2 linked regions of the Sus scrofa genome follow. The protein of the gene in region 2 interacts with the protein of the main gene of each other region in a pairwise test. Links are inferred from orthologs where the notes say so. Each region holds a gene or a part of one and is shown on either strand. Other genes may lie near its edges.

Region 1 (4,159 bases), on a different chromosome or scaffold from region 2:
CTGAAAAGAACATAGGTGCCTGATACATTCTTAGAGATTCTTCATCAGTTACTAAAATTAACCTCACCCTCTCTCCTACTTCCTGAGAAGATGGCTTTCATTTCTCCACTCCAATCAGACCAATGAAAACACTTTAAAATTGGCCTCATTCTTAATACCCTTATTGTAGAACTGCAATCAATTTGCCTCCTCGTCAGGACACACTGTAGTTAACTCTTAGAATTCATTCCTACCATTGTCAGCATCTAGGATTGGATTCCATTGGTTTGTTACACCATTTTAACATGTGATGTCAGTGGGCAAGGAAAACTTTTGATTGTAATTTACATGCAGATGTTCATTAGAAACTGTTGACCAACTACATATCTACTTAGTTGATTTTCTATTTTTATTTTGAAAATTATTTTTCTTTTTAGGGCTGCACCTGTGCCATATGGAAGTGCCTAGGCTAGGTATTGAATAGGAACTGCAGCTGCTGGCCTACACTACAGCCACAGAATGCTGGATCTGAGCAGCACCTGTGACCTACTCTGCAGCTTGCAGCAATGTGGGATCCTTAACCCACTGAACAAGGCCAGGGATCGAATCAACATCTTCATGGATACTAGTCGGGTTCTTAACCCACTGAGCCACAAAGGGAACTCCTGATTTCCTAAATTTAGATGTATATTTTAAAATTTTGAATATATTCTTCTTAAAATATTTTAAAAACCATAAGCACTTAAAGATAACTCCCAATTACGAACAAAAGTATGAAAGAAACTGACAAAAAAAAAAATCACTAGGGAGTTCCTGTTCTGGCTCAGTGGTTAACAAACCCAACTGGTATCCATGAGGACATGGGCTGTGGTGTGGGCCAGCAGCTACAGCTCCAATTAGACCCCTAGCCTGGGAACCTCCATGTGCCATGGGTACAGCTCTAAAAAGACAAAAAAGAAAAAGAAAAAAATGAAAAAAAATTACTAGAAGGGGGCAAATTACTGTATTGTAATAAATATAACATTAGAAACAAAATCATTTTAAGATAATGTGTGACAGTCCTAAGACCTAATCTTGAACCATCTCCTTCAAAGAGAATACTTATAGGACTGGAAAAGGTCTTGGGTCATCCAGTTTAAACTGATCACATCAGAAGCTGTAGAAATTTAATTACTTAATCCCTTTAATTTTGTTAAATTACCTAATATCACCAAGAGTTTTCTGTCAAACTAAAAGATTATTTCTGATTCTAGAAAAACAGGTGCCTGACATTCTAGCAATCAAGTTACAGTTAAATACCAGTAAGAAAACAACGTAATGGCTTTTAAAATGGCATCAAGTTACTCAAAAGCCTAGGTAAATTCCTGGTGAAATATGGGATTACCATATTAACAAGAAATTATCTCAAAGCCAGTTTTCGGGAGGAACAGAGGGCGTGAATAAATCTCACTAGACAACTATACATCCCCAAATCTTTACTCATTACTAACCTTTCTGGAGAGCTAAAATCAATTTCCTTGAAGAGGTTTACGGTAATTTAGGACCTAACCACACCACCTACCCAAAGAGCATCTCTTTTGCTACAAACAATGCACTAACAGTATTCAGTGAGCCTTTTATGGTTTGAAAAGTAAGATACTATCAAAGTGAACAGCACTATAAAAAATAAAGAACGCTACACATTCAGAAATTGAAAGCACTTTAAATAACAGAAAGAAAACCAGATGTATTCTCCTCATCCTTAACGATGAACTCTCCATGCCCCTCCTCCCCCGAATTTCCTCATCAACGTTTCCATGGCATTTATCTATTGTACGGAGTACGTAGTTTTACGTTTACTGGTTAGTGTCCATGACGCCTCTCTAGTTGCTAGTACAAATACACAGATGGCCTAGGATAGCACCATAGTTATTCATCTTTGAATTCTTAGCACCTGGCATAGCAGTAAATATTTAATGGTTTACTTTCAGGAATGAATGGTTTGCTATTTAAACCGATAAGCTGTGGGGAGAAGGAAGAGAACTCGTACTTGACATCAAAACCGGGCTTCTATGTTTCAACGTCTCTAGTTCTCAGCACCGTGCACCAATACCAAATTATTTCCCTAGTACAATTTTTTCCGCTCAATACAGTTCTTGTTTTCTCTTAACAGTAAAGTTTAACCCTTAACAGTACATTGCAAAAATAATCCCGGTCAGAAAATCTGTCCACGTTTGCACAAAGATCTTGACTTTATCATAGGAGCATCTGAAGCGTAAAACAGGAAGGGTCTTGCCGTTTCTATTCTGAGTAGAAAGGCCCCAAAAAGAAGCTCCATCAGCTCCCAACTAGGCTAATATGGTCCCTTGACTAGGCTCTTTCACTTCTCCACCAAGGTCTTTTCACTTCACCACTGAGGATTTCCCTCCTTGATTCCCCTTCGTACGCAGGCCTCTAGCTCTTAGCCTGCGGACATCTTCAAAAATTCCGACCCTAATTAATAAAACCGAACATTTCTCATTCTTCTGGACCCAACCCCTCGGCCCTCCCGCTTCAGACCACTACAGGCGCTTCCTCCTTCATCCACCCTTCCCGGCCTACCCCAACCTTCAGCAGGCCTCAACCCTCCACCACTTCGCCATTGTTATTTACATCGTCGTCTGGAGAGGCTGAACGCTTCACCCCGTGCGGATGGGACTCCCTGGCAGCACTCATAGTTGCGGAGACACCGACAAGGAATGCCGAATCCACTCGCTGTCTTCCTCAGACGCGGCGCCAGCAGCCTACAATCTGCCACCAGCCCAAGCAGCGCCACTCCAGAAGGCAAAGCCCCTCCGGGCCTTCTCCGCCAGTCGTCACCGCCGCGGCCGCTCGCCGCCTTGGAGCACTCTGGGAGTTGTAGTTTTGTTTCACTTCATACGCACCTGTACAAGAGAGATGGGTGGCGGGACTAAAACTACAACTTCCAGAAAGCCCAGCGGCCTAGCTCGCGCTGTTTGGCGGGAGTGCCCCCCGAGGCTCCGCCTTCCTCGGCTGGTGGAGGGACTTTTCCCGCGGAAGGGAATGGCGGTGAGCGTTAGCCCTTGATTTCGTCTCCACAGAAAGAGACTCAGCCTGGGTTTTCCCCATTTCACTGTGCGACGCTGCCCCATTGACAAACGCATTCGTTACAGTTAAGCACCTAGGTTTGTAATATCTGAGGTTTTATTGAGTCCTCGCGAGTACCCGCACTCCAAAACAAAAACGTTTCAGAAAAAAATATGGCTTCTACTTTTACCCTGTGAGCTCCATTGCTCGCAGGGGATTACTAAGTCGTCAATTTAGAAAATTCTCTATGAACATCTTCCTACTCATTCTCACCGAAATGAGTTCAGCTTTGGTGTTAAGTGCCAGTTAATTGGCTATTATTGAAACTAGGATCCACCTGAGGGAATTCTGTAAGCTTTCCAAACGGCTTTGTGTGAAGTGGCAGAGAACCTCTTCAACCTCGCTGTTGGTATGTAGGCTTTGCACTTTGGGGGCCTTCACTAAGTGAAGTCCATCTCTGCCATAAAGCCCTGTATCTTTTTCTTTCCATATTAAGAAATACTTTAAAAAATTGAGGTGAAATTCACATTACATTTAAAATAAACAATTTTAAAGCCTACAATTAAGTGGCACTTAGTTCATAATGCAGTGCAACCATCACCTCTAATTCCAGGACATTTTCATCACCTGGAAGGGAACATCAATTACCATTAAGCAGCCCTTCCCCCTTCCCCCTTCTCCCCACCAATCACCAGCCTGCTGGAGTTTTAATTCATGGAGTATTAATGTGTCTGAATTTTTAGCTGGACCTGAGCCTGACTGCCTTCAATCCTAACATTATGCCGGAATCCTTTTTTTCTTACTTATTCTGATGTTCAGAGTTTCGATTTATTATTTATTTTTTTTCCATGTTAGGGCTGCACTTGCGGCATTTGGAAGTTCCCAGGCTACAAGCCAAATTGGAGCTGCAGCCAGCTGCCTACACCACAGCAACGCGGGCTCTGAGCCGCCTCTGCAGCCCACGCCAAAGCTCATGGCAACACAAGGTCCTTAACCCATTAAGGGAGGCCCGGGATCAAACCCACATCCTCCCGGATACGAGTTGGGGTCTTAACCCACTGAGCCACAATGGGGAACTCCTTGATATTTTTTAGAAGCAAGAATCAGTGAGTAC
Region 2 (4,004 bases):
CTTTGTGATCGCCTAAGTAGCTGGCTTTATTCTTAATAGATCCCAGTGTTGAGAGTATTTGAAGGCTTGTCAGTGTTCCAAAAGAGTGACCTAGTTTCAGGCTCACTGAAAGCCAGGTCTTCACGCAGCAGCTTTTAAAATATGTAAATACATATAATCTTGTGGTCTGCAGTGGTAGACCCTGCTGACTTCCAGGCCAGGAGATCTGGGCCGGGGTGGGGGACAGTAATCCCCTGGGTAACAGTTGCAAAAAATGGACTTATATATATCCATATAAGCAAGCTGAGGCAAGGCCAGGGGAGAGTGCAAAGATGGTGTCTTCCCACCCAAGTTCCCTACGAGTATATCTGTAGTCCTATATGAAGGGCTGAAACCTGTCTCTCAGGTTGAAGCTCCTGGACAAGAGAATCTCTTTTTCACAGGCAGACTGGAATTATGTTTCATTCTGCTTTCTGTGCACCACCTAGATGTGGTAGCCTGCCTAGAACTGTCTTTCCAATTGTTAGAGACCTGGGGGGAGGAGGGGACTGGGAATGTTAGTCCCTCTGGCCACCAAACTAGGTGCATGGTAAGTGCAGACTGTGCTTACCTCCCAACCTTAGCAAGGCTGCAGGAGAACATGGGGGATGGGGAGCATCTGCAGCTTTAATGACACAGAGGGAAAGTGCTGCGAGTAGGGCTTGCCTGCAGCTAGAGCAAGGCCAGGAGAGAGTGCTGGAGGTAAGGCACACCTGCAATTTTAGCGAAGCATAGGCACTTTTTTTGAATTACCTTCTCTCAGGGCCTCTTACTCAATCCACTGTCAAGAAGTCCCCCTAAAGTTATACCTCACTCGGTCCCAGAAATGAATCTGCCTTCAAGAAGTTACCACATAGTGACATGTTTTGTGACCTTTAAAGGCAACTTTCTTTGAAACCTGATGATAAGAATTTTGAAGGAGTTAAAGAAAGGTGAGTTAAAAGTCCCTCATCAGGAGCTCTGCTATCAAAGTCAAAGAAAGGTCATTCTTACTAGAATGTAAATGTTATCCTCTGGAAATTCTTCAGAGCCTGTCAGAGTTTAGCCTTGAGGGTAATGAGGCAATCACTGAGAGCATCAACCCTTTCAGGAGAATCTGTGCCCAGCTGTGAACTCTATTTTGGGTGGAGCTTGTTTGCAAATAGCAGCCACATATAACACCTGGTAAATCTGAAATGTCTCAGAGAGCAGGCAGCAGGCAGGGAGAAACGATACCTGCGATTTACTCCTCGCTATGGAGAGAGACAGATTTCTTCATTCGCGTCTCATGCTGTTTCTCCTCTCCCTATTTTCTGCCAATGTCTCAGATTCTGCAAAACCGTAAGTCTCCCTCCAAGTCCCTTGCTCAAGAATCTGTTTTTTATTTCAGTCTCTCCCTGATATCTTTGCCTTGCCCTTCCTATGAAATGCTACCCTTCCATTCCTTAAGGTAACTTACAGTTATAATAGATTAATACATTTTTTTCATTCATGTACCCTACATTCTTGAAATAGTGTTTTTCATTGAGTCAATAACAGTCATAAATACAATAAGTAGTCACTAAGAAGCATGATTTGATTAGACACTGAAACCACAGACCTCACTTTCACAGATTTTTGTTTCAGATGGAAGATGCTGACTATAAAAATATTTAAGATGTACAGTTTGGAGTCATTTGAACTCATATTGTAGATTCTATGTGTACAGAAAGTAATAAAAGTGTTAAATTATATCATGAGCATATAATTTACAAAATTCCTACTGTGGAAAACTGACAAGCAATTCAATTTCTCTAACAAATAACTGTCTCAGAAAGAGAGGAGAGCAAGCCTACGGAATTAAAGAGATTGAAAAAGTATATCAATCAATCATAATGTATAAACCTAATTTTGATCTTGATTCCAAAGACAGTTTTTTGAAAAACATCATGACATTTTCACAAAAAAGTTATAAATGTGCACTGGCTGGATATTTGAATATTCATGATATTAAAATACTTTTGCTAAATGTTTATGTATAATAAAATAATGTGTGTGTTTTCTTTTCTTTTGGAAATACATGCTGAAATATTTATTTGCTTCAAAATGATAATAGGAAAGGTGAATTGGTGAAGAAAGTAGATGGGAATGTGGATGGGATGTAGGTAAGGCAAGAATGGACACAGATTGTTGGCCATTAGAACTGGGTATTGTGACTCTAGTAGTTTATTATGTTCATATAACACTGTGGATATATTTGGATTCATTACATTACTTTGTCTAATTTTATGTACGTTTGAAATTCTCCATCATAAAAACTTAAAAAAAAAACAATGAAAGTTACCAATAATTTACTATTGAATAAACATAATATATCAAAATACCTAGTTCATTTGTTTAAATACCTGATACACATAGAAGTATTTTACAAACCTTAACTAACTATATGAATTGAAAAATCAAGATTGTTAAATGGTTGGAATGCATGAGAAAAAAACCTAGAAAAATGGAAAAAAAAAAAAACATTGACAGAGAAATTGTGAAAAACAGAAATTAATAAAACAGAAGCCAACAAAATGATATAATTACAAAAACAAAAATCAGTATTCTAAACATTAATAACGTAGTAAATTGAAAGCCTAGCCGAAAAAAAGACAGTACCCTAGAAGAATGAAAATTGTACAAATTATCAAAACTAACATTAGATTATTTTGAAAAATTGAATAAACCAGTGACCTTAAAAGAAAGTGAATTAAGAGTAAAGAGTATTCCTTCACTTACAGAAGACTTGTAAAAATAATTTTGTATTTTACCGAAAAGCTTTACCAAGCTTTCAAGGAAATGATAATCCCTATCCTAAAAAGGCTATTGAGAAAACAGAAGAAGAATACCCATACAATCACTTTAGAGTTTAATATCAGAGATGCTGTTTGGGAAAGATCCTTAGCATTCTCCTTACTTGCTGCAAATAATAATAAATCCTTCCTTTTTCCAAAAAAAAAAAAAGAGTTTAATATCATAAGGATTATAATAAAGAGAAGAAAATTAAATATCAGTCTCACTTATGAACATAAAAGTAAAATGCAAAAGAAAATATTGCCAATTTTTTCCAGTTGTGTATTTAGTTGATTTTACATGAGCTGCTATAACAGCTCTAAACTCAGTGAAACTCTAAAACTCAGTGAAAAAGCACAGTAACCCAAGCAGATGGAGGCTTTGTCATTTTCAGTGTGTCACTTCTAAAGCATACTCATCCAGCAAGCAAAGAATAAAAGAAAGTGAAGGTGCCCATAGGAAGTTTAAATATGCCAAACCTGGATATGATGTACATCACATTTACTTATACTCCATTAGCCAGAATTCAGTCACATGATGAGACAGTCAATCAGTGTATTCAGGAGGAAAGGGAAAGAAATTTGGTGTAGAACTAGCCAGTCTCTACTACAAGTCAAGTAGCTATGTGTTCCAGGTATAAATCTAGAATGCAATGAATTAAAACAACAATTTATTGTTTTTCTCTTGTGGTTCTATGGTTTGGCTGGGTTCACTCTACAGGGCAGTATTCACTTTGGTTCTCCCTTGCAGTTGATGTTAGATGTTGACTAGCGCTACGGTCCTCTGAAGATTCAGCTGGACTAGGTGTCCAAAATAGCTCCCCATGGAGCACATAGTTCATGCTGGCCATCCCCTGGTGGCTTATCTAGAAATGTTGACCAGAGTGTCAACACACATCCTTTCCAGATAGTTCAGGAGTCTCACAGCATGCAGCAGGATTCCGAAACAGAGGGTCCCAAGTACAAGCATTCCAGGGAACTAAGGCAGAAACTGAAAAGTCTCCTAGGACCTAGCCTTGGAAGTCACTTAGTATCACTTCCATTGTTGACCTGTTTCCAAAAGCAAGTAATAGGTAGGGCAAGGTCGAATTCAAGGGGAGGGAATTATATAAGGCCATGAAGGAAGGCATGGTTTATTGAGGAATCACCTCTAGCCATGCTGCCTTCCAATATTTGATGCTTGGCATATAATGA

What was found. The genes of interacting proteins can lie anywhere in the genome.
Region 1: the proteins of A2M (region 2) and C2H11orf58 interact in a two-hybrid assay, tested with the Homo sapiens proteins (2 studies listed by BioGRID and IntAct). The link is inferred for Sus scrofa from reciprocal best matches to the Homo sapiens genes A2M and C11orf58.

What each region holds. Positions count from the first base shown.
Region 1 is NC_010444.4:42,361,719-42,365,877, forward strand, and holds the start of C2H11orf58 (small acidic protein), read right to left. Parts: upstream 2,805-4,159; 5' UTR 2,674-2,804; coding exon 2,611-2,673; intron 1-2,610.
Region 2 is NC_010447.5:62,405,734-62,409,737, forward strand, and holds the start of A2M (alpha-2-macroglobulin), read left to right. Parts: upstream 1-1,194; 5' UTR 1,195-1,252; coding exon 1,253-1,338; intron 1,339-4,004. UniProt on the Homo sapiens protein: Is able to inhibit all four classes of proteinases by a unique 'trapping' mechanism. This protein has a peptide stretch, called the 'bait region' which contains specific cleavage sites for different proteinases.